Pelodiscus sinensis: one gene and its partners. The protein of the gene in region 2 binds, or shares a complex with, the protein of the main gene of each other region. Links are inferred from orthologs where the notes say so. Each region holds a gene or a part of one and is shown on either strand. Other genes may lie near its edges.

Region 1 (7,514 bases), on a different chromosome or scaffold from region 2:
TGTTGAGCAAAAAAAAGCGCCCCCCCTCCCCCCCAAAAAAACCATGGCACCTTTAAATTTCACACTCCCTTCCACATGGCAGGGGAAGAATGTCCCAAGTGGCTTTCCAGCTGAGAAACTGAAAATACCAGACATTTTACTGGGGGGGGGGGGGGGGGGGGGGGGGGGGGGGCGGGGCAAAGCCAGGAGTTTGGATTGTGCCTCAGGGCAGGGGATTGGGGTGCAGGGTCTGGGAGGAGAGTCTGGGTGAAGATATCAGAGTGGGAGTAGCTGGGGGACCGGACACTTACCAGCGAGACACGCTGCTCTCCTGTTTCTCCCACAGGACCTTCCTGGCCATGTGCTTGGGGATTGGTAGGTTCCCGCAGCTGCCATTGTCCATATCCGGACAATGGGCTTGTGCGGGGGGGGGGGGGGGGGAAGCAGCCATGAGGGACCCTCCCCTGCCGGCTCACAGCTCCTGCTCCACAAAGGGCCCCGCTACGACTGTTTTGCATGGGGCGGGGGGAAGAACCCGACGAGCGTGGGGCTTGCTCTGGATACTGAAGCGCCTACGCGGGCTGCCTGTTGCAGTGGGTGCAGGGCTCAAGCCTCCAAAGCGCCATGTCGGGCTCCCTCGTGGGTCTCAGGCTGCCGATCCTGCTCTAAAAGCAGGGGTGAATGTGAGCAGTTTTAAAACGCTGGCGCAGGCACACGTAAATGCCACCGTGGGCGCCATGACGTCCGCGGGCACCCTGTTGGGGACCACGGCTCTAAACCTACATCAGAAGTTAACATGTAACTCAGTGGGCTATCACAAGGTAGCTTTTAGGGACCAAATTAATACTGACCTGACATACGTTAGGACACTACAGTAATTTTTCTACCCAAGGCTTATCAGAAAATAGGTCAATCTAGAGAGAAATGCATTTTCTTCTGATAGATTTGGGTACAAGGTCCAAATCATGGAATCTGCTATTTCACCTTAATGAGAGCACTGACAGCCTAGTAAGCAAAAGCTCTTTGCTCCATCCACAAAGCAGCATAACACCAAAAAATACAACCAGTGATAATGACAAACTAAATCTTCAGCAGTTTAAGGGGGCTCTGGGAATTGCTCAAGTTGCAAACTAGATACAAGTCAAAAGTTGTTTACTTCATGCAGATGTAAAAAACCTCAAAAGATGCAAAACCCTTGCATCCTGATCAGATTCTAATACAAATCATTTAACTCAGCGCAGAAAAGAATATTTCTATTTTTTTACTTGATAGTGGAAAACATCTCCCCAGCCCTTATGGTGGTATAGCACACTGGTGTGTAGGAACTTATTTTTCCAGATAGGTATGACATGGCCAACTTTCAACACAATACAGCAGGATTTATGGCTTTAACAGTTAACACATTCATTCATTATAATCATTCAGTGTTTGTTCCCCACCACAAACACACACACACTATTATGCCATGTGCCAATAATCTTCATCTTCTATTTAGCTGGGTTACAACGTCACCAAATTACACACAGTTGCTTCAACAGTCTCTGGAAAAAATATCTATCTTAAGAAACTACGGCAATGACTGTCACAGAAACACTTAAGGGCTAATATGTTAAATATTATCAGTATAATTGTTAGCTAGAAATGGAAGAAAATGATCACTTCATGAATCAGAGAGCAATGCTTGTATAAAGAAGCCTACAGTAGACAAATATAAACCAAACAGCATAAAAAATGCTATACGCTATCGCTTCCAAATAAAAGCTAAATATTACAGAAACCTCACAGTGTTGGAAAAAGCAAGTTTAATTTACATTTTTTCCTGACTGCAATTTCTCCACACATCAGCACTACTGGGTTAATGTCATGTGGAGAGGCCACTAATCTCAAAAGAGGTCAACAGCAAATGCTACAAATCTGCTTGGAAATCTGATGCACTTCCCCCATCCCAAAAAGATGATGCATCAGATACAAACCTCAGTGGCACCATAGTGGCTAAATACATGCTTTGGGTCATATTTACAATCAGACAATGAACAGGCATGCAATGAGAATTAGACAGTATGACTTACGTTCTGCAGGTATCTGAAGATGAGGTTCTGTAATACAGCACTTAAGGAAAAGCACAGAAGCAGCACCGACTGCAACATGGGTCACTGTAACAACTAATCTGGTTATCGCCAAAGCTTCCATTTTAAAAGTGCTTTACTTTTAGGCAAATAAAAATTAACAATTTCTGGAGGCGGGGGGGCGATGCCGAGTTGGCATTTAACCCACCTGTCCCCCTTCTATCCTGTTCTACCCTTCCCAGTGCTCCCTAAGGCCAGAGGTGACAGAACGACCTCTAGGGATAAATCCCTGCAGCTCGCCAGCAGCCAGCGAAACCTACAGGCGCCTTCCAGCCGGGAGTTAAACCCAACAGCGCCGGGGATGGGCTCTGAGACCCGGGAAGTGCCCCCCCCCCCCCCCGCCGCACACCCAGGGCCTATCCCCGGCGCGTGCTGAGAGGAGACCTCGATTCCCAGCACGTGATACTGGGTGAGGGGCTGGGAGCTGCATGGCAGCCCCCCCCCCGGCTCCAGCGCCCAGCCCCCCCCCCCCCGGCTCCAGCGCCCAGCCCCGCTGCGAGCACCCTGCTCATCGCCTCATTCTCCCCCCTCGTCTCGCCCCCCCCCCCCGGGCCAGCCCGCTCAACCCCCCCCCCCACCGGGCTCCTCAGACCCCTCATTCTCCCCCGGAAGCCCCCCCCACTCATCTCGCCCCCCCCCCCCGCACCAGCCCGCTCAACCCCCCCCCCTCAGGCTCCCGGCCCCCCCCGACTCCGCCAGCCCGGCCCCGCCCCCGCGGCAGGATACGATGGGCTGCACCATCACCTTCTGCACCTTCTGGCCCTGCCCGCGATACGCCATGGCCGCGAGCGCGCCTCAGCCACCCGGCAGGAGAGAGAGAGAGACGAGGAGAAACCGTTACCCGCCGCGGCCCCCACGCGCCCGCCGCAGCAGCTGCCCGGCTTCCGCTCCAGACCGGAAGCGCGGCTGCCCCCGCGGAACGCCGGGAAGCTTCCCCGGCCGCTCTGGCACGCTGGGAGGACTGCCGTCCCGCCTCTACTGCTCCCGCCTCTCTCTGTCTCTTGTCCCACTGCGGGCGAGGCCCCCAGCCTGGAGCTGCGGCTGCGCAGAGCAGGCCAGGCAGGGGTGCCAGACAGAGAAGCCACGTGCTGAAGGCGGCTGGTTGCAGGAATAACTCATGCCATGCCCCCCCCCCCCACCCTGAGAGTAAATGTTCTGCAATAGACACACACCGGCCTTGGACTAGACTAAGACACTGGAGGATGCTTGCAGGGCCTGCACCTAGAGCCCCGCTGCAGCATTGGTACCGCAGACACCAGGCCCCGCTGCCTTCGATCCGGGGTGCGGATACCCCCCGGGATCTGCGCATTTGCAGGGTTCTAGATACAAAGACTGTCCCCCGCACCCATCGGCCAAAAATTAGTCGCAGAGATCTGCAGATTTGCAACGCTCAGCATAGTGACCCTATGGCCCCCAAAATCCGGGACTGTCCCAAGTTTTAATGTTTTTTCCAGGTGTCCCGACACCCCCCAGATTTGTCCCGGAAAAAAGTCCCTCTCTGCTTCTTTTCCTCCCTCCTAGCCCTCCCTAAGGAGGAGTCAGGGATGCTTCTGGGACTTCCCTGTGAATGAGGATCCAGCCAATAGAAGAAGCAGGAGGTTGTGCCCGTAGGAGCCTGGGAAGCCGAGTAAGTGGCTGGGCTGCCAGCTGGGACAGACAAGGGGAGGAAAGGGGGGAAGCAGTGCGGTGAAGAGCATCTCTGCTGGGGGTGTGTGAAGAAGAGCACCCCCCATGGCCCGGTGGAAGGGGAGGGGCAGAGAGCAGCACCCCACCTCATGGCTGGGCTTGGCTAGACGGGGCCAAATGGTGGAAAAACAATTGGAAAAAGCTACTCAAATTGTGGCGTGCAATTTGCATAGCTTTTTCAGAAAAAAACCCTGATAGGCCCAAATCCACTCCTGCGTCCACCGTTCCTCCTGCACCCTCCTCCTTCACCACACACTGTCCTCTCCCCCTAGCCAGATACTCTACTCCCAGCCTGTTGCGGCACCCTACCTGCCACCCACACCTTGCAACCTCTCCCTCTTCTTCCCCCCACCTCTCTCCCAGATCCTGCACCCCATCGCTATCCCATTCTCTGGTGGCCCTGTCTCACATACTGAACCCCTGATTTTTGTTCCCAACCCAGAAACTAAGGGGGCTCCATAAAATCTTCCAGAAAAGTTGGGGCTGGAACGCTGGAGGAATGTGGTGTCTCAGTTGGGGGTCACGTTGGTGAGGGTTCGGGGTTTTTGAAGTTCTTTTGCTTCTCATGTCTGTGGTCCCCAACTGACTTTTCTGTGGCTCAATGGCCCCTCACCCAAAAAATGTTCCCCATGCCGGCCATAAATAATCTAAACTTAAAAAACAACAAATGGTCTGATAGCACTTCAGCTTGAGAATAAAGGACTGAGGAGAGTGAGGTGTGGGAGAATAAAACTGAGCTCTGGGGAAATGTTTGGTTAGAGTTTCCCCTACAATATGTACCAGTTCCGACTTACATACAAATTCAACTTAAGAACAAACCTACAGTCCCTATCTTGTACGTAACCCAGGGACTGCCTGTAGTTAACAGTGAGATTCCATTAGCAACTGGTGGTCTATGGAAAGGTTTACATTGGCCATTGGACCCCCTGGCTCAACAAGGTTGAAAATGACTGAAATAGAGGTACCCCTGGCCTCTCTCCCGAGAGACATCCCCAGTCTCCCTGTTGCTCCAGAAGAGCCCCCAGAGAGATTGGGTCTGTTACCACAGTGGTGAAATCAGTCACTCAGGTGTGGATGATGGACAGACTTTTTGTGAGTTTTCCTCATCCAAGCAGTTAATGATTTAAACCATGTGTTAATATGCCAGGTGAAAATACTTGGTGCCTCCATAGAGGGACAAGTTGGACGTTAGGAAAAAGTTCCTAACTGTCAGGGTGGTGAAACACTGGGATAAATTTCCTAGGGAGGTTGTGGAATCTCCATCTCTGCAGATATTTAAGAGTAGGCTAGATAAATGTCTAACAGGGATGGTCTAGATAGTACGTGGTCCTGCCATGAGGGCAGGGGACTGGACTCGATGACCTCTCGAGGTCCCTTCCAGTCCTAGTATTCTATGATCTCTCTCCAGAGAGGTTGTGTCATGGTGAACAAGCCCTTTGTGAGCTCTGTGAAGAGGTGAGATGTTTTGACTTCCAGCTTCAAAGGAATTTGTTCTGTCTTTGGGCTACACATTGCCTAGACTTCAATGGAGCTAGCTGAGAACGCATTTCTTAGTTATTCTGACACAAAGTGAAACCTGTGCTAAAGACCCCATGTCTAGTGAGAGAAAGTGCTGCTGTCTGAAGTAAATTCAAAGTTTCTCCAAATTTCTTCAGTTTGCCTCTACCAGGCAGTGGGGCTTTGACTGATTGGTCCCTTATATTTTTGAAGGATGACTAAATATTACCCAGATCTTCTTAGGTAATATCAACAGATTGCTTTGGGCCCAATCCTAGCTTAAAATTAAATTGGATCAGGCGCTTTGTAAGCAGGTTGGGAAGTGGTCTCATTTGGCAATTATTATTAGCTATTATTTACGTAATATAGGCATTGCCATCATGGTATTGGCATAGACATTTCTCAGTAGCTTTACATATAAAATAGCCTAGCCCCATTGATATAATGGGCAATGTACCTTTCAAGCAGAGGTAATGAGGATTCATGACATAGTCTTCCCCACCCTGTAATTGTCATGGTTCGGTATTGTCATTCTGGCTTGTGGAAATGGAGGACACTTCATAATTTTGCAGTTACTTCAAAAAATGCGGTTGCAGTCCATTTCATTAGGGATGTAAATTCCCATTCATCAGTTAACCGGTTAATGTTAGGTCACAGTGGGGCTGCCGCTGGTTCCCAGCCCCTTCTGGAGCAGCCCTTGTCTATAGCAAGCTGGACTCCCCATGGAGAGAGGTGCAGTCCATGCCTTTGGGGCCCCCGAGTTCTCCAGAGACAATGGCTGATTTGGATGAGCGTAACCCCTATCTGCAGCAGGCCCTCTATGAGCCTGGAGCAGCCCCCTTCCTAGCTCCAGCCCCCTCTGATTACCAGTTAATTGGAGCCAGTAGGAAACATCCATTAAGAGGACTATGGAAATTGTCCCATGAAATTGTGGGATAGTTCTGGATGATTCCCAGGTTCTGAGTCAAATGGGGCTGCATCTACACTGCAAAGTAATAGGTCTTATTGGATCTCATCTTGAATCGAGGTTAGACCCCTAGCACTGCACTATCATGGGACCCTAGGTCTATGCAATTGCAGTATAGTTGCATGGGAGACTTCTATGGGGCCCAAATAGATCCCTCTAGGTAGAGAATGGTGGGAGGAGTGCTTTAGAGGGGTCACATGACACCCTTTACTTCCAGTGATATATTCATCTTGACCCTGGAAATACTATCCCAGGGGTGGGATTTCCTGTGGCAGGTAGGTAGGGCCTAAGGGGTCAGGGGCCCCGCTAATGGTTTCAGGGGGTGTGGCCAAGGTGTCCCTATTTTTGATTCAGAAAATATGGTCACTGTTAAATTCCACTCACTTCACCCTACATCCTCTCCCGGACAACCGTGCAATGGATAACATGGATGTTCAGATCAAGATGAACATTTGCATGGTAGGCACAAAAAGGATGCCTGCCTTGCTATCCTTTTGTTCCTCTCCTTTAAAGTAGATTTGTCCCCAGTTCTAGGAGGCCATACATATATGTCATTACTGCAGTTTGTCAAGTGTATGCTGGAATAATACAACCACTCTCACTCTCAGAAGACTGTGATGAAGTTGAGGAAAGCAAGCACATTAAGAATTTTCCAGTGGCTTCACCCCCTCCATTTGTAGGGCTTTGTGCTCTGCCCAGCTCTGGCATGCACTGTTGTTTGGGCAAGTCACTTTACCTTTCTGTGTCTCAGTTTCCTCTTCTGTGAGATGGCAATTATATTCTTCCAGTTTTGTGAAGCGCTTGGAGACTGAAGGATGAAAAAAAACACACTCAAGTATTGCGATTCCACACACACAGTGTCCCACTGCCTGCCTTCCATTGTTTGCAAGCTCATCCTGATTCCTCTCTGCATTCTGTGGAAACCATTTTCAGATTTAGCTAGAAGCCATCTTGTATAACAGAAACCATTTCAGCTTCTTGCTTCTGCATGTACGCCAGTGAGTGAACTTTCTGTTACCCCATGATAGAGGCCTGCAAGATGAGCTATTGGAATGTGTTAATTGAGCTGGTTGAGAAGGGAGACCCACTCCCTAGTACCTGCCCACTGTCTTGCTGATAACGGTTTTGCTTTTCTAAGTTTAATTAATGATTTCTATAATTGGATGCCCCGACGTCAGACTTGTTTGGTTAATGGTATAAAGATACTAGGATTGATTGTATTAGCAGCCTTACTGGGCCCAGCTCTGCTGGGACCACGT
Region 2 (7,747 bases):
GTGAGGCTTACTGGTTTTGGTTAACCAGTGAGGGTTGGAGCTGCTCCCCGCCCACTGCGCATAGGGGGGCTGTTTCAGATGGGGCACTCCAGACTGCCCAGACCAGCCTCTGTCCACGTCAGGGGTGGGGGAGTCCACAAACAGGCTAAAGCAGTCCCCTGGCAGCCTCACCTTTAATAGGTTAATCAGTTACACATTACAGTTAATCAACTAAATGGGATTTTACATCCCTAGTTCACATTTCCATGGCAATCCCTCTACGACAGTGGTCCCCAACCTTTAGAGGCTCCGGGGCGCCCGGGAGGTGGGGCCACTCACGCGCTGGGCACCCGGGAGGTGGGGGCCACTCACGCGCCAGGCGCCCGGGAGCGGGGCCGCGCGTCCTGGGGCACGTCAGGGGACTGGGATGCCCTTGCACCCGGTGCCGGTGTGTGCCCTAGGGCCGGGGCTGGGGCTGCCCAAGCGCTTTGTGCCGTGGGCCCGGGGCTGGCGCTGCCACCCAAGCCACGCGCCTGGAGCTGGCACCAGCGCTGCTCGAGTACCGCGTGCCCGAGCGCCCGCACGTGCCCCAGGGCTGGGGCCGCCCGAGCGCCGCGCACCCAGCGCCGGTGCATGTCGCGGGCCAGGGCCTCCAGTGCACCGGGGGCAGGGCCAGCCCAAGTTGTTGGCAGGCGCACACGAATGCCCCAGCGGGTGCCATGGCGCCCGCGGGCACCGCGTTGGGGACCACTGCTCTACGACAAAGCTATTAAAGTCCTTGCCACTGAACTGACAGCCAGCCAGTCAGCCTTGCAAGCTCCCAACCCAACCAGACAGGCTTTCAGAAGATAAGACTCCTAGCTCCACAGCAGAGAATCTATAAGCCCTGGGAACCTTAGCTTCAGCCTGGATTTCAAGACTCCCTGCTATGAAGCTAGGAGCCTGGAAGTCCTGATACTGACTTCCACACTCTGTGTATCTAGGACAGCCTCACCATGAAGACTGCCCTGGGATCAAGAATCTCTCAGCTTCCGGACTCTGACTAGCTGCTGGCTAGTAATCTGGAAGCCCTGAGATCATTGGGCAGGGTGGTCTTCAGGGAGGGCCGCCTGAGAGCTACAGACCTTGGGAGCTACAACAATGGCTGACTGAAAATGACATTCTTGTCAGTTTCTGGACTACTAAATGTCAATTTCCAACAGCAGTTGCCTGTCCCCAGAATCAGTATTTTATTTTAGAAGCACCAAATATAGTTTCCAAAATTAATTTTTAGTTTATAATGAAATCTAAACTGGACCAAATACAAAAAAATTAAATGAAAGCAAAGAAACTGGAAACAGTTGCAAAGGAGGGCCTCACATTAATGTTTTTAGACATACCAATAATTTTATGATAGTTGTTCTTACCTTACATCATCCAATGGTATAGGCTTTCCATTATCAGCCACAAACATATCATGAGTTCTCTTCAAGGATCTGAACACTAATGTGTGCACAGAGTGTTTTTGCACCTCCTGCAGCAGAGGAGATACATTTAATTATATATATGGTTTAATTATATATATGATAATTCAATGAAAAGCCTGAAAACTACCAAGAAAATTAATGATTCTTGTCTTCCATATGTAAGAAACGAACTCAGTTTAGTGTATGCAGTGGTGCTTGAGTGGTAAAAACTATAATTTGGTGTAAGAGACAGTTTCATTTTCCCCATCCTCAAACTTAAATCACCACTTAATTATTTTTTCCTTTCATGGGATACTGTGAGAAAAAAAATCTAGCAGGACAAAACTTTGATCAACATTTTATTTCCAACTGTAGGCACATAAGTGAATTTAATGAAGACAAACAAAAAAGGTTTTTATTTACACTTGCCAGCTACATTTTTATAAATAACCAATAAAGCGAGTCAGGAGAAAAAAAGCTACTCAAGAATTTATTGTTGAGTGATTGAAGGATATTTATTTCCTATATTTTGACATGTGAGGTTGACAATTTGTGTTTGAACAGTTATCAAACTTTTAACTTTTTGAATCAACATCTATTGTCATTCAATAGTCTGAGCCTCCATCAATAGTTTCCAAGAAGCATGAACATTTAAATTCTAAAAATTGGAAAAAGCTTACAAATGAAAATGGATATTACTAATTGGTATAACAAAATTATAGTTCTACAGAGCCTAAATATAATTTTAAAACATAATTAACAAGATAATCTGCTGGTCTGGTCTGACTGAACACTGCAATTCCTATTGTTTGATGCTAATGCCACTTGCTTTTGTAAAGTACTTTGAGATCTATGGCACCTAACAGGCCATGTAATCAGATAATAAAAGAAATTAGTCTGATGGTTTTCTGTCCAGTTTTACCTGCCAGACCTCCATATAAACGCAGCACCACAGGGGCAAATACTGGCTGCGGGGGAGGGGACATCCCATGTAGCAATTAAAATTTTGGTGAGACACATGGGGAGGGAGGGTAATCAACAGTCCCCTACGCCGCGCCATACCCTTTGCTACTGGTCAAGCCCCTTGGTAAAGCCAGCAGAGGCCCAGTGCCGGAGAGCGGCTGTCGGGTTTAGGGCTGACAGGGCGGCAGGAGGGTGCTCACGTTACCGCCAAGCGGCAGAGACGGCGACACCTTTCCCGCAGGTTTAAAACCTTTTCTGCAGGAACGCGGCTCCCCCCGTCCCGAGGGCACAGACCCCGCAGGGGGCGTATCGGGAACGCGGCGCGGAGCTAATCGCTGACACAGGGGAGGCCGAAATCCCCCCGCCCCCCGCGTGCGCGCGTTGTTCAGGCCGCGAGCTCCTCGCTCCGGCAACGGCAAGCCCCGGGCCCGGGTGCTGGAGTTTCGGGGGCGGGGCCGGTCTCTCACCTCCACCATGGTGCCCGCTCCCCCAGCAGGAAACCGGCCGCGCTGTCCGGTCCGCTCTCCTATGGAACTACTTCCGGCGCCTGCCCGGCTGCCCCGGAACTGACGCGCTGAGACATGCGCGCGCACACGCGCGGCACTGTAGCGCTGAGGGGGCGGGAGGCACTAGGAAGAAGGCGGGAGGAGCAACGGACCTAACGGGCGTGGGAGGCCCGGCCCCTCCCCGGCGGAGGCGGCTCGCGCTGCTTTGGGAGCCGGGGGTTCGATTCCTTCCTCCCCCCCCCCCCCGATGCCCAGTGCAGCGGGGGGAGGTGCCGGGGGCGCTGAGAGCTGCGGAAGGATGAAGTGTTTCTGGCTCCCTGCAAAAGATGCGCGGCGCTAGGTGCTGGCGTGAGGATGCAGGGGGGGCTCTATACAGGCTTTATAGTTTGGTTGAGTAGCTCTCAGCACCCCGCAAGGCTACCAGTCTGCAAAATGCACAGCTGCAAGGGTACCCCCCAAATTACCTTCAGCAGCTTTGCAGGCACTGGTGGCCAGGCTCATCACCACCCCCTGCCTGTGGCCTGAGCACAGCAGAGCTGTCTCTAAATTGGGTAAAACTTAATCAAAACAAATAGTCTAGTAGCACCTTAAAGACTTAACAAAATATGTAGATGGTATCATGAGTTTCTGTGGGTACAACACACTTCTTTAGATGCCTGCAATAGATCCAATAAAAGTCCAGAGCCAAGAATAAATAAGGGAAAAGGGAGGAAGAAAAAGAGAAAAATGACAGTGAACAGATTGTTCAAGTTACAAGAGGCTGATAAAAACAATTAGCACCTCCGTTGGTTAAGTCATTAGGATGTGGAAGGTAGTGTGTGGAGCCCACCCCACCCTTTCCGGAAGCCCCACCACTGCTTTGCTGCACCCACACCACCCTGCTCTGCTCCCTCCTCGCCTCCATTCCACCCCAACCCCTGAGCAAAGTGGGCTAGGAGACTAAACGGGGGCCTAGTGTTGGTAGCAGGGATCAGGACCAGCCCCATACTCACTGGTGGCAGCAGGAAGCAGAGTGATCCAGCTGCAGCCTGCTCCACTCCACTAGCTTCCAACCACATCACACTGCTTTCCACCACCACCAGCAAGTTCAGAGTTAGTTTCACCCTTTTTCCTAAACCCCTTCCCAGGACAACAAGGCTATAGCTACACTGGCGGGTTATTGCACATGATCAGCCGTTCTTCCACAGAGCATCCACACTGCCCATCTGCTCTTGCGCAAGAAGATTTACAGTAAAGCGTGGTAGGAGAGGACTTCTTGTGCCAGAGCTATGCTCTTTTCTAACAGGTGTAAGCTCTCTTGCACAAGAGGGCAGTGTGGATGCTTGGCAGGGGTTTCTTCCGCAAGATAGCCCTTTGGCTAAAATGGCCATCAGAGCTTTCATGCGCAAGAGAGCATCCACACTGCCATGGATGCTCTTGTGCAAAAGCACATCTTGCACATGGCATTGTGAACGTGTTCTTGCACAAGAACACTTGCGCAAGATGTGGGAACCAGCAGTTGGGCTGGGTCTGGGTCTCTCCACTTCTTGCTGCTGCTTGTGAGTGTGGGGGTGGGCCCAACCTCTGTTGCTTCCCTGCCTGGCTGCCCTGCTCCTGCCTACCCTCATTGATGGACTGCCCCTACTACAGAGTGTCCCCCACGGGGGGCTGTGTAGGACACCAGAACTGCTAAGGACAACTTTGGCCTTCCACTATAAATATTGTTGCAGCATCTCTAAGTAAGCTTGTATGGTTTAGGGCCATTGATTTTAGATGAGCCTGGTTCATCAAGCACCAACAGCACCTTTTGTGGTGACACAGCATTCACAGCATGTTTTGGGTGTTGAGGCAGCTGGGGATAGATGGAGCAAGCCACTGGCGGTGAGCCCTGTATATAGGGCAGCATAACTTTCAGGAGAGTCCTTTCTAGTTTCAAACACCAGAGTTACTGAAAGCATTGTTCTATCTGAGCTGTGGGACGGCCACTCATCATCCCATTAAGACCTGCACAGGCGCTGAGGATGGCAGCGAAAAGAGATGCCTCTACCCAAACCCCAAAGCTACCACAGATAGGGGAGAGGTGCTCTACCTTACTTGCTGGAGCAGGGAGCTGTGGTGGATGGGACAAAGGCCCCCTCCCTACTGGCCCCAGCACGAAGCAGCCACAGCTGGCAGGGAAGCGCCACTCACTGAATCCCATTAGGAAGAAGCCATGGGTAGCAGCAAGGGTGCCATTTTTGGGAGAGCGAAATGGGGCAGCAGCTGGGTGTACTGGGACACAGCTTGCTTTTCTTCCTGTTCCCCTGATGATAAGGGAATGAGGGGAAAGTGCTTGCATTCCGTGAATTACTCCTCTGCCCCCTTCCTTCACCAGCCAGGATTGAGAGGCATGCATGGAATCCAAGTACTTTCCCTTCGTTCCCTTATCATCAGGGGAACTGGAAGAAAAGCAAGCTGTGTCTTGGTATGCACAGCTGCTGCCCTCCTCCCCCTCCACACACACCCCATGCTCTCTTGAAACACCACCCTTGGCCAGCAGGGAAGCCATCATCAGGTTCAGCTCCTCGGCAGAGGATAAACGATTCTATGCATTGAGCACTGGAACTGCACTCTCATTGACTGGGAACCAGCCAATGGGAGCTGGGGGCAGGCAGTGTATGTGGGCAACAGCAGCACGCATGGTGGAGCCTCTTGCCACTTTCCTCATGAATTGGAGCTGATGACCATTTCTGGGGCACAGTGTGATGCCCGAGGCAGGCAGGCATCAGGCAGCCTGCCTTTGTGCTGCTGACCAGGAGCCTCCATGTAAGCCCATCACTCAACACTCTACACCACACAGAGTCCTTCCAACTTGGAGCCACCTCCTACACCTCAAACACCTCATTCCCAGCCCCACTTCAAAGCCCATGCCTCCAGTCCAGAGCCTGTACCCCCTCCTGTACACCAACCCTTCCCAAAGCTGGAGTTCCCTCTTGCATCCCAAAATTATCATCCTTAACCCAGCCCCAGAGTCTGCACCCCCAGCCAGAGACCTCACATCCCTGCACTCCAATCCTCTGATATAAGCCTGAACCCCTCAGATTCAGCTCCATACGAGAATCCATACCCTCAGCCAAATCCCTCCTGCACCCCAATTTTCTGCTCCAGGCCTGAGCCCCTACCACACTCAGAACCCCTTGACTCCATGAATTTTGTTATGTGTACCAATATGAAGGTGATGTGTTAAACATTACCTCTATATTGGTGCATGCAACAAATTTCACTTCACTAGAGGTGGGAAGAATTAGAGGTAACATTGGGAACCCCTCTAGTGAGTGAACTTCCCCTGGCACCCTGACAGAACAGGACTCCTTTGAATGAAAAGCTGTAGCCAATTGAAATATGCATCTTGATCATGTGTTAGAAGATAATAAGGGAGCAATGCTTTGCAAACCTGTTGACAGTTTTTACAGACTACCCCCAAACAGGCTGAGAAACAGCTTTAATTTAATTTAGGCTCAAAGCCTGACCCTTACTCCCAGTCTGCTTGCCATAGAGTAAGACCTCACACATTTTCTTTACCTAAAATGGTTTACTGAATTGATGAGGAACTTTAAAGTGCATACACATTGTTCACTAGCCTAAACAATTCAGCCAGATGGCAAAAAAAAAAAAAAGTTAATAAATGACTGAAAAGAGCTGTTTAGAAGATACGTTCTTATGCAGCTTTAACTGCAACAACACCATGTTTTATCCAGACTACCTTGTGTCATTTCTACTCCTCAATCTCTGGGGATTATTTGATGAGGAATACATCTAGCCATGTAGCAACACAGAGGTTTTGTATAAACAACCATTGCACCGAGCTATTAACCATCCAAACATAGCAACTGCAATTACAGATGCTAAACAGAAGAGTGCAACAGTTAGCTTTCTAAATACAGGCAGTCCCCGGGTTACGTACAAGATAGGGACTGTAGGTTTGTTCTTAAATTGAATTTGTATGTAAGTCGGAACTAGTACATAATGTAGGGGAAACTCTAGCCAAACATTTCTCCAGAGCTCAGTTTTATTCTCCCACACCTCACTTCCCTCAGTCCTTTATTCTCAAGCTGAGGTGTCTGTTCAGAAAAGCCGCTCCGCGTCTCCTTGGTCTGCTGCAGGGGGGCGCTAGCTTCGCATTTCCCTGGTCTGCTGGGGGGAAGTAGCTAGTGCGGGCTTGCCTCACCCCGTTTGTAAGTAGGGATCCGATGTAAGTCGGATCCATGTAACCCGGGGACTGCCTGTAACTGTAATAAAGATCAGAATCTGCTGAAAAGCATGTTGACAATTCCAAAATGAGAAATATCTCTGGAGTATTGGTTTCTGAGTTTAGCTTCAATTTTATAAAACTTGATCCAACTTTTTAAACTTATTAGAATGCAGAGAAATATTTTAGTTAGTTTTTTTCTAATTAATAGACATTGTAATATATTAAACTTTATATATGAAATAAACCAGAGTAATGTGGACAAGGAGACGTGTTTTTAATCTAGAATCACAATAAGCAATTTTTAAAGGAAAACTGCATTATGATGTGATACTTTATTCATTACACTTAATAAAAATTAAATTCACTAAAGAACTGAGCTGTTCAAGGACATATTTAAGCTACCTTTGGATACACATTTGCCAAGTTTATATGTGCAAATCAGTAATTACAAATGTGTTTGATGTACCTCTCAGTGTTCACATCTGTGTTTGTATCTATTCGTTAATACTAGAGGTCTGTTTCTCCCATATTAAATATAAAAAAGTTTTTCTATTATGTATGTGAGTCCTGGATGAATAGTAACATGGGATGGGCATTGATGTACAGAGTATCCCATTCCTAGAGTCCTGTATGGATTCAAAATT
Region 3 (7,785 bases), on a different chromosome or scaffold from region 2:
AGTACATAAACCACAAAGGGTACTTCTCGATGGTACTGCAGGCACTAGTGCATCACAAAGGCTATTTCACCGACATCAACATGGGATGGTCGTGAAAAATGTATGACACGTACAGCTTTAGGAACTCTAGTCTTGTCAGAAAGTTGCAAGATGGAACTTTCTCCCCAGACCAAAATATTACCATTGAAGATGTTGAAATGTTTCTTTGGATGTTGACTTCCTTCATGGCTCATGAAGCCGTACACAGGCAGCCTGGAGAGCAGTAAGGAGTAGTTCAACTACAGGCTGAGCAAATGCAGAAAAGTGACAGAATGTGGTTTTGAACATTTGAAGGAAACGTTTCACAATTTACTGACTGACAGCAAAAGCAACATTCCCATTGATGTAGCAACTTTCTGTGTAGTCCACAATATCTGTGAAAGTAAAGGGGGGACATTTTTCCGGTGGGATGGGAGGGTTGAGGCAGATCTCATTCCCCTGGTTTCTGGCTGTTCATAATTAAAGGTTAGGTGAATACATAAAGGAGCAGTGAGAATCATAGAGGCTTTGAAAGCTAGTTTTGTGAATGACAAGACAGCAACATGAGTCATGTATGTTGCTCTTAATAAGGTACCCACTGAATTAAGTGTTGGCCTGTAAACCATCCCCCCATGTCAAATTTAGCATTACTCCTCTTGCCAAAGAGGAGTTCAGAAATCATCTTTAACAGCCTTTAAAGTCAACAGAATGGGGTTGGTGTTTAGAAAATAGACCTAACATAGCTAAAAAAAAAATTAAGGAGATATACCTCTCATATAGAACTGGAAGGGACCTTGAAAAGTCATTGAGTCCAGTCCCCTGCCTTCACAGCAGGACCACATACCCTCCCTAGGTTCGACCTAAACTCATAGTGTAGACCAAGCCTAAACTTTTTCTATCAAAGCTGCCCCGATTTACACTGAATTGCTTTAAAAATTAGTTTAAAGAACTAATATAAACCTATGTAGGCATCTGTTTAAGACCGTTTTTATAAAATTTAGCTCACACCTGTAATTTTACAAGTAATACAAGTAAATACAATATAAATAAATAATACAGGTGTCAGCTAAACAGAAACAACCAGGTTTAAAATCATTTAACAGTGCTGACACCAGTGACACCAGTTCAAGTGAATTGGTTAGAATCACATCTATGTTTGATTTAAATGTATGCAGTGCAACTTTGTATTTAGATCAGGGCATTGTACTCTGGCACAGAGTTATCTTCTGTTCTTTGCTAGATGTTCCTCCCATTACTGGCTTCACTCCACTTTTCCTTTCATAAATAATTTGTCTTGATGTACATAAGCTGTTTAGTCTTTTCATTCTCTTTCCCTGCACTCTGCCCTATTCCTCTTTCCTTCCTTATTTCATTTTCTGTTCTCCAACATATCGGCTATGTCTACATTGGCACCCTTTTCCAGAAAAGGGATGCTAATGAGACAAGTCGGAATTGCAAATGCTGCGAGGGATTTAAATATCCCCCACGACATTTGCATGAACATGGCTGCCGCTTTTTTCCGGCTCGGGGCTTTGCTGGAGAAAAGCGCCAGTCTAGACGGGATCTTTCAGAAAATAAAGCCTTTTCCGGAAGATCCCTTATTCCTCTTAAAATCAGGAATAAGGGATCTTCCGGAAAAGGCTTTATTTTCCGAAAGATCCCGTCTAGACTGGCGCTTTTCTCCGGCAAAGCCCCGAGCCGGAAAAAAGCGGCAGCCATGTTCATGCAAATGCCGCGGGGGATATTTAAATCCCCCGCGGCATTTGCAATTCCGACTTGTCTCATTAGCATCCCTTTTCCGGAAAAGGGTGCCAACGTAGACACAGCCATCCTGTATGTTTTCTCTCTCTTTTCTCTTCCCAAGGTTCTCAGTCTCATGATATATTTAAAAACTTTATTCCTACACAGACTTTTACCCACTGCAGTGATAGGTATCCCATGTAATTTCTTTTAACATTGTTTTGCAAGTCAGCAAGTCTAATGATTTACATGTCAAAAGCAGAAACGCGGGTGGTGGGAACCCACAGCGGAGACTGAAGCAGTCGACTCTGATAGAGGCAGCAAAAGGGGTGGGGGGAAAGCAACTAGTCAAGTTGACTATCCGATAAACATTTGCTTATTGGATACTCGACTAGTCACTTACATCCCTACCCTGCACTCTAGTCCCCTTCCCTGGGTCACTACTGCCTTCTTCACCCAAACTCCCTCCCAGACTCCATTCTCCCTCATGCACCCCAATCCTTTACCCCAAGCTCCCTTCTGCACCCAACCTCCATCTTAGACCCCACATCTCCTCCATCAAGAACATGGAAGAGTGCAGCCCTCGACCACTTTCCAAAATTTTGGAGTGGTACCCCATCAAAAATTATTGCCCACCCCTGGAATAGGGGATATAAAAAAATATTATTATAAGCAGGTCTCGACAAATAATGTAATCTACTCGCCTATGGCGAGTAGATTACAACTCGGAAGAGCCGGCGCAGAGCGATCTGCGCATGCGCAGAACGGCATGGCTGGCGAGTGGGGCTTGCCACCACTTGGCAAGCCCTGATTATAAGGAAATACAAAAATAATGAGTGAAAGTCTTATTTGGGGATATTTAGGCCCTTCCTAGAGTGCAAAAAAAAAAATTCCTGCTTTAAAACACATTGTTTTTTATTACAGAAAGAGTTAAACAAATACCATAATGTGTATTTACATCTGTAATTTCAAGGGAGAGTGGTCCCTTCATATTTCAATCAACAATACAAAGCCTGCTGTGAATACCACACAAAGCAATAACAAATGGGATGCACTTAGGGATCAGTCATTTTATGCTTAAAATTAAGCTCTTCAATCACTCTTAAGGATGATTTATCAGACAAAAGCTGTAGCTAAAGTCTTATTTGGTAGTGTGCAACACTATCATGGCAGAAACAACAGATTACAAAAATCACTTTAGATAAGATATAAAATGTTACATCAGAGAGATCCAGATTTCTAGACACTTCTCACCTTAAGTGACAATAAACTCAGGTATATTGTCACCAGTCAATTATTTTAGCACTTATAGCACCATTCATCCATGGATCTCAAAATGCTTCATACAAGCGGGCAAGCACTGTTACCCCACTTTACAGCTAGGAAAGCTGAGGCACAGAGGGTGTTTCTTGATTAGGCAGCGTGGTCAAGTTCAGATCACGCTTGGTTAATACAAGTTAGCAAAACCTGACCTTCTTTCCCCTAGAATAGATGCAGGATACCATCTTCTAGGCCGCAATTTGATTAGCTAAATATGTCTAAACTAGGAAAAGGGTCTAATTTAAGTTAGGCTCGGCTAACATATTAGCTAAGTTCAATCTAAACTCAACTGCTTTTCCCAGTGAAGACAACCCCAGAGAAGCTGAATGACAGTGACTCGTCCAACATCACACAATGCAATTCACTGGCAGAGCTAGGACTTGAACTTATCCCAGACTGCCAGAGCCCTGATCTGACTAGTAGATCACAATACCAACACGGGGATTTCTGAAGCCATCACTCATGCATATCAAGCAAGTTGGGGGAGGAAACTCCAGCCAATATCCCTGCCAAGCCGATGGAAGCTTCACTCAGTCTGTGCGCACTGTGTGCCATGTGCAAGAGTTGTATATATTCTTCACTTCCCAACACAGCTCCCCATCCCTACTGAAGGGGTGAGCTGGGCTCCCTGGAGCCCTCTCAGCCTAGGAGGAAGCTTTCCTCTCTGCCAGCTCAGCCAGCTGCTTCTGGCGCCTCTGCAACACCTCTTGACGCATCTTCTCATGGTGCTCGTGCTCCCTGGCACGGAGCTCCTCCACCTCAGGGAAGAAGCGGTGCCTGAGACAGAGAAAGACAGTAACTGCAGTGCACTGAGCCCCCCTGAAACTTCCCAGTTCCTCTTACTCACCTGAGTCCCCCACCAAAGCCCTGCCAGCCATGTCCCCCAATGTTCCCCCAAGACCTTCTGGCCAGGTTCCCACAAGATCTTCCAACCAAGGGCCCCCAGAACCTCCCCCACCCAGATGAGCCCCCCCAAGGTCTGCCGGCCAAGGCCGCCAGGGTCCCCCCCCCAGATGAGCCCCCCAAGCTCTGCCGGCCAAGGCCCCCAGTGTCCCCCCACTCAGATGAGCCCCCCCAGCCAAAGTCCCCAGGGTCCCCCCCCAGATGAGCCCCCCCCAAGCTCTGCCGGCCAAGACCCCTAGTGTCCCCCCCCAGATGAGCCCCCCCAAGCTCTGCCGGCCAAGACCCCTAGTGTGTCCCCCCAGATGAGCCCCCCCAAGCTCTGCCAGCCAAGACCCCTAGTGTCCCCCCCAGATGAACCCCCCCAAGCTCTGCCGGCCAAGACCCCTAGTGTCCCCCCCCAGATGAGCCCCCCCAAGCTCTGCCGGCCAAGACCCCTAGTGTCCCCCCCAGATGAACCCCCCCAAGCTCTGCCGGCCAAGACCCCTAGTGTCCCCCCCCCAGATGAGCCCCCCAAGCTCTGCCGGCCAAGACCCCTAGTGTCCCCCCCCCAGATGAGCCCCCCAAGCTCTGCCGGCCAAGGCCTCCAGGGTCCCCCCCCAGCTGAGCCCTACCACCCAAAGCCCCCCCCACCTGTGCACGAAGGCGGCGGCCAGCGCACACAGGATGCTGCCGAAGAGGAGGGGCTTCGCCAGCCGCTTCCGCGCCGACATACGACCCATAGCGGGACACAAACAGGACCCCCCCCCCCGCCACCCTCCTCATACGTCACGTCCGGCCGCTCTCACCATTTCCGCTCTTCTTTCGAGTGGCCCCCCGACGTTCCGCCCCTCTCTCCCCGCGTGCGCAGGCGCGGGGAGGGGCTGGCGAGGCGCTGCGCGCGAGGCCAGAGGGAGGCTGGAGCGGCCCGGGACGGGACAGCGCTGGAGACGGTGCGAGCTTGGCGCTGGGTTGCAGAGCAGGGTCGCCCTGCAGCCCCGGGCGCGCGGTGCAGGGTGGCTACAGCTTGTGCTTTTCAGTGGGAGAGCTCGTGGTTTTGGTGCAGTTGTGGAATGGCTGGGTTTGGCAATAGTGCGCCGCGGCCCCTTGCAAGCCGCCCATTCACCAAAGGTGGCAATGATGGAAGCTACAGTGTAAAGTGAGCATTGGGGGTGCGTCTAGACTGACAAGCTTTTGCTGCAAAATCTTGCCAGCTGTCTACACTGGCCCCTTGAATTTGCACAAGAGCACGGACTTTGTAATGGATAAAATCAGTGCTTCTTGCACAAATTCTTCCACGCTCCTGCTCGGGAAAAAGCCCTCTTGTATAAGAATACTTGCGCAAGAGGAACAGTGTAGACAGGGAAGAACTGTTTTGCGCAAAAAAGCCCCGATGGCTAAAATGGCGATCGGGGCTTTCTTGCGCAAAATCACATCTTGAGTGGCCATGGATGCTTTTGCGCAAAAGCATCCTTGCCAAACTAGACGTGCTTTTGCGGAAATACTTTTAACGGAAAAGTTTTTCCGTTAAAAGTATTTCCGCAAAATCATGCCAGTCTAGACGTAGCCTGGGGGATTACCAGCGTAAAAGGGTTAAAAGACTACAGTAAAAACTCATGGCTAGCCTATGCTACAGGCTGTCCTAAGTCCAAGATACATTCCAAAAAACTAAACTTATAGCGAAACAACTTAAGCAATTCCTGGTGACTGACTTCCATTTGCACAAATTGGTTGTTGTTTTTTTGGGGAGGGGGAGGGTGCGTGACTTAAGAGCGGGGAATGGGAGGACTCTTAATGCATCAGTTCCTACAAGAGTCAATGACTTTAGTGTGGAACAGATATATGCTGGGGCGACTTATAGTGGAGACTGATGTAATGGAGCTGCAACAATGCTTGATGAAACATGGGACAATTGCCAATGATTCTCAGTGCAAATAAGATAAACCCAGTTGTAGTGAGCATGTTTCTGATTCAAACCTTGACAGGGCTGGTTATACTACCACTTTCAGTCCCCTCAGTGAATGTGAAGGGAGAGAAAAGAAAACCAATTGCCTAGTCTATACTTCTCAGAATGTTTTTATTAACCTTGCAGTGAAACTGAGGTCATACAGGACACTATTTTGAACAAAACTTAATTTTCCTCTCTTTAGCACCATGTCTCAAAAGCAGCAGGATCCACTGGACCTGGGGCGGCTTGAATACTTGCAAGCACTGGTCACAGAGTTCCAAGTAACAGAGTCTCCAGGTGAACTTATAAGCCTTTTTTTATTATTATTAAAGTATATTCCAAATGTCAGGATCATAGCTGGCTCATCAGTTATTGGGGGGGGGGGGGGAGAGAGGTTTTCTTCAGAAATGGGACAGCCCAGCCCACCTCAGCTGCCTCATTCTTCACCTAAATGCATATATATTGCAGAAGCCAAGGAGCAAGTACTGGCTAATCTAGCCAACTTCGCCTATGATCCCAAGAACTACGAATATCTCCGACAGCTTCAAGTCCTTGACCTGTTTCTCGATATGCTCACAGAGGACAATGAGACCCTCGTGGAGTTTGCAGTTGGTAAGGAGTAGCCTTAAAACTTTGTAAAATGAACAACAGTAGTTGAAAGCACTAGTTGGATTTTGATGGATCAGGGGATGTCAGCCTTGCTGCTTTGATTCTGTAGTCCAACTGAGCCAGTTGTAACTAGCTAATTGGGCGCCTAAGGCAAGACCGTCCTCAGCGAGGGCGGGGGTACTGATATGGCGCAAGGCATGAGCGAAGACCGCGTAGTAGCTGTCTTTTCTGTGCCGCCTCAGCCATGCACCCGAGGCAAGTGCCTCACTCACCTCGCCCTTGTTATGGCCCTGAATTGAACTTGGGGGAGAGGCTCAACTCCATGACAAACCATCTATGGCAGATGTTGCTCAAACTGCTTAATGCCCTCAGATACTACAGCGATGATAGGAGTATAAAAATCTATACAGAACAGCTGAAACAGGTGTGAGATCAGGATAGGAAAGCTTCCTAATTGTTAGGGTGGTTAAGCACTGGAATAAATTGCCTAGGGAGGGATCTCCCTCATTAGAGAGATTTAAGAGCAGTTGTGACAGACGTCTCTCAGGGATGATCTAGATCAGTATTTTCCCAATGGTGTTCCGCGGAACCCCGGGGTTCTGCAAAGTGAAAATAAGGGTTCCATGAGAAAATTCCATTACAATTATATTTTATGATTTAAAAAAAATTTAAGCATTTATGAATTTTATTGAAAACAATTTTCATTTGTGTTTGCCACGATAAGTGTCCTTGTGTAATGTCATTACGCTGTGCACACAGTCAGACAGTGGTGTGATCGCCTGTTATATACCACCGTAAATACCCATACTCACTCATTCTCAATGTGTTTTGTTTTTAAATATGTGCAATTAAACTAAATGTTGATCTCATGAACTTGTTTAGCATTTTTTTATTATCCTAACTTATTTGTGGTCTACTTTTTCAGCTCCATATATAAAAGATTGTTATTAGGGGTTCTGTAAAATTCTTTCGAGTTTAAAAGGGTACCATGGCCAAATAAAACTGGGAAACATTGATCTAGATGGTGCTTGCTCCTGCTAGGAAGACAGAGGGACTGGACTTGACCTCTCAAGGTCCCTTCCAGTTCTAGTATTCAATAGGACTTGAGGTGAATTATTTCATATTAAGGCAACATTCCCCTTCACTCTACTAACATGCTGCAGTGCTGAAAATTAAACTGTGTAAGATTAGATAAATCTCTAAATAGTGAAACACAAAGTGTAGCTTAATGAGAGTTTTTAACCCACGTCCTTATTGTAATGAGACAACTA
Region 4 (7,658 bases), on a different chromosome or scaffold from region 2:
CAGATGGGAAGGAGGGACGACTGTAGAAGCTCTGTGGGATCTTTGTTCAAAGCCAACAAAACCCTCACATGGCTCGGGAACCTCGGGCAGAGTGTGAACCAGCAGAACTGGGGGCAGGGTGGGGGGGCCATGGCCTGGGGCTAAGACTGAGGGCCAGGAGCCCAGGGCTGGGAAAGGAGGGGGCTGCGGGTGCGGATTTAGGGGCTGGAACCTTGCTCAGTTCCGAGCAGAGAACTTCACCGCAGGCAACGGCGCCCTCTAGTGGCCCCCAAGTCTAGCGGAGCTGGCTTCGGAGCCGGGGATTCCCTGTACAGCAGCCAGTGGGGGGCCAGACAGTGGCCACAGGCTCCTCCAGCTACGCTCTGAGCCAAGGCACTGGCAGCGGATCCCCCTGCAGCTCTGCACCAAGGGGAGGACAAGAACCCGGCGGTTTCTAACAATCCAAGCCATACGGGGACCTCTGCCCCGTGAGCCACAGACAGTGACAGACTGGATCCATCCCACCTAGCGTGTCCTCCCCCTCAGGAGCGACCAAGGGCCGTTTCCCCTGGAGGGACCCAGGAAACAGCCTGGGACCCTGGTGAATTCCTTCCCACCTCGGCAGTGCGCAGCACGAGCCTGGCAGGACACGATTTCTTAGCTCTTGCCAGCACAGCGCCAATAGGAGATGAGGGGGGGGGGGGGGCAGGGAGGGGCCAAACAGCATCACGCTGCCGTGCGCGGCTGTTCATCACCTTCAGATAACTCCTCGTCATTCACGCGCAATCAAGCCTCTCCTCCCCGCGCCGGATCCCTAGCTGCAACGCCAGCGGCATCTGCACTTGCCTGGCCACTGTACAGCACGAGGAGGGGCAGGATGGGGGTTGGGGAGGCCCGGAGCAGCCAAAGCCTGGGGCATACATCACCTCTGCCCAGTCAGCAATGAAGAACCCCTCGCCGTCCCCCTCAGGCCTGAGCTCTCTTCACGTCAGCCCCCACCAGGATACTGCCCATTAGCCTTGGGGACCAGTGTTCCCTGAAAGCTGAGCCCCGAGGTGACCACCCAAGAGAGATTCAAATGCCACCCAGTGGATTAGCAGAGTGCCCTCCAGTGCAAACAGCTGGCAGCATGTTTCTATTGGTGGTGCACACTGACACATGCCTTGGTGCATATAAAATATATTCCTCAAGTGGATGGGAAAAAATGAGAGAGACCATTCTTGGGGACTCCTGATTAAGTCTGGGCCAGTGGGGAAGGAGCAGGCTAAGGGGCAGGACATGAGTGGGGTCTCACAGGTTTCGGGCTGCGGGCTCCTTTCTTTTTAAATGAGCACAGCACTTGATTTGACAGGGTTTTCATTTCTCCCCCCCCCCCCATGGGTTTGTCAAACCTGAGCTGCGGGTGCTCGGGCATCACTGCGCCTCCTATGGGAGGCAGCTGAAACTTGTGGGGTCCCCTTGCCCATAGCAGCCCACAGAGGATATCAGAGCAAACACAAGGGCAGCCGGCAGAGACTCTCCTTCTATGCTGTTAGCAGGGGCCTATGTGCTGGAGCAACAGGACTGGGGTTCCACCCCCTGCCTATACAGCCCGGGCACCACATTAGCGCCACAGTAACTGCAGGGTGGCACTCACGTTGTTTCCCCCTCTCTCAGCTTCTTCACCGCGGCCTTCTTGGACAGATTGATCTCGGAGTCGAGCTTTCGTAAGAAATCCGTGGCCGAGAGGTCATGACGGGGGGTGGAGCCTGCGCTGGCCGCAGAGCTGTTTTTCAGCACCAGCGTCTCCTTTCCCGTGGCAGGCTGTGTGGCTCCTTCCTCCCGCTTTAAGCCGTTCACCATCTCCTCGGGCTCCACCAGGACAGGGATGTGCAGTGTCGTCTTGAGGAAGATGGAGTCACTGGTGTACAGACGATTTGCCCGCTTGATCTGCTCCATCTGGGAAGGCACCATAAGACTTGTAAGCCCACTAGCCTGCGACAGACATCACCAACCTTCTCTATTCAGAGCATGGTCCTAAAAGCTACTTTGCAAGCTGGGTGCCTAATATCAGTCACTACCAAAATGCAGCCACTTCTGGGGTGGAGGGCACCAGTAAGCAAACAGAACACCACACAATGAGAGAAAGCAGGCACACAGCTGGCCTGGACTGCAAATGCTGGGTTTGTGCTGGCAGGGAGAAGGGCTGGAGGTCACTAGAGATTTAATGTTGAGGATGTGGGGGGACAGACTCCGCATGCTTGAGGCTCAGGTTTCAATGCAGCCAGATGAGTCTGTGCTCTCTCACTGGAGGGGAGAGGGCCATGCCATTGACAAGTCTGCTAGCGGGTCCACCCCACCGGTCTCCTATGCTCTGCTGGGGGTGGGAGGGATGAGGAAAGACAACCTGGAAACCCTTCACCACGGCACATGCCTCATCTCCAGCCCAAAGACCAAAAAACCCTCCTTTCTACCTTACTGGCTGCTCATTAGGTCCCTGCAAAATGAGCTGGCAGGTTCTCAGCACTGGCACTGAAATAAAGCTGGCCCCCTGGCTGGCAGCCCCAGAGAAAGCTCCCCTCTTTCCCTGCCCCTCCAGCTGCACGGCAAGGCACTCCTGCAGCGAGCAGCATGCATGTGTTCTAGGGAAGAATGAATTGCTGTGGTCAGGCTCCAGGCCTATCAAGGTTTAAACTGCTGAGGGCCACTACTGCCTGACCACACCACAGACAGCAAAGCTGGCCCGGCCCAGCCGGATATGTGTGTGTGGGGGAGGGGGGGGATTTTGTTCCCATCACCAGGGGAATTTCTGCTGCATACACTGAACTCCTGTGAAAACCACTTGGGGCCACAGAACACAAAGTTGCAAAATACAGGAAATGAGAAGGGTGCAAGTTCATGTGAATGCACAAGTGCACATTAGCCGGATCCCATCAGCCACATGAAGAGGCAACAGCACACCTGGGCAACCATGAGGAGACAGCAATTGAAGGATTGGAACCCTCAGACCTAAATCTGCATGAGACTTCAGACTTTCAGCCCTCCCGTGCATCCACCCATACTCCGAGGACCCCAGTGGGGTGCCCACTCCAAGTTCCATGATCAGGACGCTGGACTATGGCTTTGATTTTCTGCCAATCCCCTTCTGGAGTGCCATAAACTATTATGAATCATTAGGTGTATTGCAGAAGCCTCTAGGAGCCTCAGCCAAGAACCAGGAGATCCCACCACAGGGGAATCAGAGGTGCCTGGACGCAAGAGAGGTGACTCCTGCCAGCAGCCCCTCTTCTTAGGGGTGCTCATGATGGGAGCCTCCCTACTTCACCCCAGACATTCAGCAAACAAAAAAGCAGTAATGCTGAGTATTTTAGCAGAACTCCTCATCCAAGACACACAAAGCACAGTACAAAATGGGGTCCCCCTAATCAGTGGAAATCAATGAGGCCCCAAGCTGCAGGATCAGGGCTGACACAAGAAAGAAGGGAAGCCGGGACAGGTCAGGTATCGAGCACTTTACAAAAGGTACATCCATGGGAATAGCTTTTTTTATAAAACGGAGAAAAAGGTATAGAGTGGTGACCAGAAACCAGAAGACATGGCTTCCTGTTCCCTGCTCCATCCACAAGACCCTACTCCCCTCCAAAGCTGGGAACAGAACCCAGGAGTCCTGGTACTGCCCCCTGCTCCAACAGTGGGACCTCATGGGCACCCCAGCTACATCCCCCAGATCGCAAGGGGAAGCTGCTGCGCAGACCTACCGTGACGCCATACTTGAGTGCCAGCCCCTGCAAGGTGTCCCCCGGCTCCAGACGATGTTCCACCCTCCTCTCCCTCACCGGGGAGTGTGTCGACTTGATGAGGCTGCCGTAGGACCGGGTCCTGCTGCCACAGAGCAAACCAGCCCCTCCAGGGGATCCTTGCCTGGAGGGGGAGGCCATCTCCCCCCCCAGCCCCCAGTCAGTGGTGCAACCAGTGCAGGCGGCAGAGGGGCCTGGAGGGGTCAGGACTCCTGCCAGCACCCTCTTTCCTGAGGGGTGCTCATGGCAGAACGAACAAGGGCCTCCCAGGCAGACTAGGGACCCCCCACTTCTAGCCCCCCCGCTTCTAGCCCCCCCCCAAAGGGTCTCTCTCCGGTCTTGCTTCTTCTCCCCCCTCTCGGCCTCTAGTCCAGGGCAGGGGGCCACCCAATTTCCGCCCCACACTGCAAAACGCAGCCTGCACGGATGGGGGTGCAGGGGGTCCCTCGATTTCCTCCCCACCCCTTCCGCCGGAGAGGGATAAGGGGGGGGGGTTCCTCTATCTCATCCGCGCCGCCCCCCCTTTACTCGGGGGGAGGGGCAAATTACTCTCCCCTCCCCCCGGAATCCAGCCACCCCACGGACCCCGCCACCCCGCGCAGGGCAGCCAGAGTCTGCGCTGCCTCCGCTCCGCCCCGCCCCAACAGCGGAGCGGGGCCAACCCCCGCCCACTCCGCGCAAAGGCCTCTGGGAACATAGTCTCTCCCTAGCAAGCTCCTCCCCGCCTAACAACGCTCCGCCCCTTTGGAGGCCACAGGAGAAGCACAGCGGGGAACATCTCCCCCCTCCCCCCCAACCCAGCCACAAGCGTCGCCTCGCGGAAGCAGAGACGTGGGTGAGGACTACATTTCCCAGCATGCCCCTCGCCTTCTAGCCCTCTCCACGCATCACGGCGGTTTTGACCCCAGAGGCCTATCGGTGCCGAGCGCCCAGAGGCATGCTGGGAAGGGTAGTCCCGGAAGTGAACCGAAGAGGAAGTGCGGGGTGGCTCCAGTTGTCATGGTTACCGCCGGTTGGGAAGGGGTCTAGCCCTCCCGGGGCGCCGCCATGTCCTTCAAGCGGGAGGGGGATGACTCGGGCCAGCTGAATGTGCTGCAGGTGAGCGGCGGGGCGGGACACCCCGGCTCCGCCCCCCGACCGACCCCCCCCAACCACCACGGGCCCCACAACTCTCCTCATCCCCAGAGCAACTCCCTGAGCCCCTCAGCTTCCCCAACGCCGCCCCGCTGGCTCTTCCCGCAGCCCCTCCCAACTCCTGGCAGCCCCGTTCCCCTGTCCTCCCTTCAGCCTTCCCGCAGCCCCAGAGCGCCCCCTGCTTCCCCTCCCAGCCTCTCCCCGCCCCCCCTTCAGCGCCGCCACGCCCCCTCCCCAAAACAATCGCCTCAACTCCCTGCCGGCCTCCCATCCTCCCCCAGCCATTCCCCTGCCCCCCCCGACACTCTCCTGCCCCCACATTGTTCCCCCTGCTCTCCCGTCCCCCAAACAATCGCCTGCCCTCCTCCCAACCCTTCCCCCCAGCCCCAGAGCGACCACCCGGCTGCTTCCCTGCTACTCCCCCCTCCCCTTTACTCCCCATCCCCAGAGTGGTCCCACAACACTCCTCAGCCCTTGGCGCCTGCCTTCTGGCCCCCTTCTCCTGCTTCTATTCTTAGCCATTGCCACTGGTCTGCAGGATGACCTTGGGCATTTCACTGCCCTGCTCCGTGCCTCAATTTTCCCATCTGTAAAATTGTAATAATGATAATACCAGCCTCCTTTGTAAAGTGCTCTGAGTCCCACAGTAGAAAAGCACTAGATAAGATCTAGAGGTGGTGGTGGTTGTTCTATAGGCCCCTATCAAAATGACAATCCATTTTGGTCAATTTAATGGTTACAGGATTTTTAAAATAATACATTTACTTATTTTGGCTATCTAAATCTGAAATTTCAAGGTGTTGTAATTGCAGCAGGAGTTGTGGGGGGAAGGGACGACTGTGGTACTTTTCCCTTATTTCTGCACTGCTCCTGGTGGCAGTGCTGCCTTCAGAGCTGAGCATCTCTAAAAGCAGAGCTGCTGCCAGCAGCAGCACAGAAGTACGGATGGCATGGCATGGTATTGCTTCTCTTATCTCTGTGCTGCTGCTTGCAGGATGCTGCCTTCAGACCTGGGTGCCCAGCAACAGCCATGGCTCTATGGCCACTCAACTGTAGGCAACGCAGAAATAAGGGTGGCATTACCATGACACCCCCCCCCCCACACACACACACACAACTCCCTTTTTGGTCTGGACCCCCAATTTGAGAAACATTGATGTCTCCCATGAAATCTGTATAGTATAGGATAAAAGCAAACAAAAGGCCAGATTTCACAATGGACGGCTAGGTTTCATGGTCCGTGACTCATTTTTCATGGAAGGGCCCAATTCATCCTGGTGCCAGGTGCTATGCCGCCCACACCCAAAATATTGATTCCTCAGTAACGTGGCCTGTTCATTTATTCAGAAAAGAAGAGTTGCAGATCTGCTGGCAAACTATATCCCTGAGGATGAGGCACTGTTGCTAAGGAGCGGCAGGTATGTTAGATCTATTCTAAGGTAGGCAGCATTGTTCTGAGAGGACCATGTGCCATAGGAATCAGATTACAGATGAATCTTTGAACCAGTTCAATTAATTGATTACTGCATATATTTGGGGGGCTGAAGCTGCAAAATTGACCACGTGACCTAATGCACAGAGTACCAAAGTGGGAGGCAGGACACCTGGATTCTTCCTGTTCTGGTACAAACCTCTTTTGTGTCCATGAGCAAATCCCTTTATCACTCGGTGCCTTAGTTTCTCCATCTGTAAAATGGGGATAACAATGCTGCCCTTCCTTTCTCAAGTGCTTTGAGATCTAGTGATGAAAAGCACTTGATAAGAGCTCGCCTAGGGGTGGTGGTGTTTATTAAATGTTCTGATCTGGATTTCCAGCATTCAGAAATGTTTTGCTCAGGCCCATTATAAAAATAAAGATGGTCTGTAAAACATAAACCTGGATCTAGCTTTGGACTTGAAACACCACCAAAATCCAGGGTGCAGTGCATTGAGGCTGATCTGGGGTGTTTTGTTTTTTGGGTTAGTTTTCATTTTGGCTTTGCAGAGAGTTCCTGTTTCCCTTCAGATATAAAAGAGCCACATGCCCCCAAGAGAGCCTCTGGCTAATATTACAGACTCAGACAGGTGTCACCGAGGTGTGAGGGATTACTACAGAACAGTACAGGGCAGTAGAAATCATGTGCAACATAACAAGCGAACAGAGTGAATACAGCTTTCAAACTTTTAAATGCCTAGCAGAGAATGAGCATAAACCAGTGGCCATGGGGCCAGGAATTTGGGTTTCAGTTCTTGACTCTCCTTGGTTGTCACTTAAGTTCTGACCTGTTTCCCTAAATTTCAAACTGGAGATGATAAAATAAAGGGCATGTGGTCCAGCATCCAGGACACTGGTGTGGGAATCATGACTTGTTGGGCAAATCTCTCAGCTTCCCCACGTGTAAGATGGGGTAGTAACATTTATCCTGGCTAGCTGTGCTCTGGGAACCTTGGCCAATTATATTTGTAGAAATCCCACTGTGTTGAATGACTTTGAGGACCATGGTCATTTATTCTAGTGAATGTCTCTCCCACTTGCAGTATTACCAAGTGCACTGTCTCTTAATGCTAATAAGAAAGGCTGGGCCCAACTGCCCTAGCAGGTATGCATGAGGGGGCAGGGATTATCCTGGCTTGATCTGACCATCTTTCCTCTTCTTCCTCAGATATGCCTGCACAGTGTGTTTCCACCGTCCGGTCTTCGACACACTTGACATGCTGACAGTCCACAGGGCTGGCAAGAAACATGTAGCTAGTAAGTCAGCCCCAAGGGCTCGGTTGCTCAAGGAACTG

What was found.
Region 1: PLRG1 (region 2) and SNRPE share a complex: the UniProt entries of both Homo sapiens proteins name them as parts of the minor spliceosome. The link is inferred for Pelodiscus sinensis from reciprocal best matches to the Homo sapiens genes PLRG1 and SNRPE.
Region 3: PLRG1 (region 2) and ARMC7 share a complex: the UniProt entries of both Homo sapiens proteins name them as parts of the minor spliceosome. The link is inferred for Pelodiscus sinensis from reciprocal best matches to the Homo sapiens genes PLRG1 and ARMC7.
Region 4: PLRG1 (region 2) and SCNM1 share a complex: the UniProt entries of both Homo sapiens proteins name them as parts of the minor spliceosome. The link is inferred for Pelodiscus sinensis from reciprocal best matches to the Homo sapiens genes PLRG1 and SCNM1.

The regions. Positions count from the first base shown.
Region 1 is NC_134737.1:8,527,971-8,535,484, forward strand, and holds the start of SNRPE (small nuclear ribonucleoprotein E), read right to left. Parts: upstream 3,015-7,514; 5' UTR 2,886-3,014; coding exon 2,832-2,885; intron 2,076-2,831; coding exon 2,049-2,075; intron 1-2,048. UniProt on the Homo sapiens protein: Plays a role in pre-mRNA splicing as a core component of the spliceosomal U1, U2, U4 and U5 small nuclear ribonucleoproteins (snRNPs), the building blocks of the spliceosome.
Region 2 is NC_134715.1:56,845,416-56,853,162, forward strand, and holds the start of PLRG1 (pleiotropic regulator 1), read right to left. Parts: upstream 3,012-7,747; 5' UTR 2,864-3,011; coding exon 2,855-2,863; intron 1,493-2,854; coding exon 1,386-1,492; intron 1-1,385. UniProt on the Homo sapiens protein: Involved in pre-mRNA splicing as component of the spliceosome. Component of the PRP19-CDC5L complex that forms an integral part of the spliceosome and is required for activating pre-mRNA splicing.
Region 3 is NC_134730.1:12,490,096-12,497,880, reverse strand, and holds the start of ARMC7 (armadillo repeat-containing protein 7), read left to right. Parts: upstream 1-4,782; 5' UTR 4,783-4,910; intron 4,911-6,107; 5' UTR 6,108-6,111; coding exon 6,112-6,202; intron 6,203-6,373; coding exon 6,374-6,517; intron 6,518-7,785. UniProt on the Homo sapiens protein: As a component of the minor spliceosome, involved in the splicing of U12-type introns in pre-mRNAs.
Region 4 is NC_134734.1:15,658,556-15,666,213, reverse strand, and holds the start of SCNM1 (sodium channel modifier 1), read left to right. Parts: upstream 1-4,649; 5' UTR 4,650-4,802; coding exon 4,803-4,853; intron 4,854-6,236; coding exon 6,237-6,307; intron 6,308-7,531; coding exon 7,532-7,620; intron 7,621-7,658. Other genes in the region: LYSMD1 (lysM and putative peptidoglycan-binding domain-containing protein 1), read right to left, coding at 1,616-1,917, 3,717-3,896. UniProt on the Homo sapiens protein: As a component of the minor spliceosome, involved in the splicing of U12-type introns in pre-mRNAs. Plays a role in the regulation of primary cilia length and Hedgehog signaling.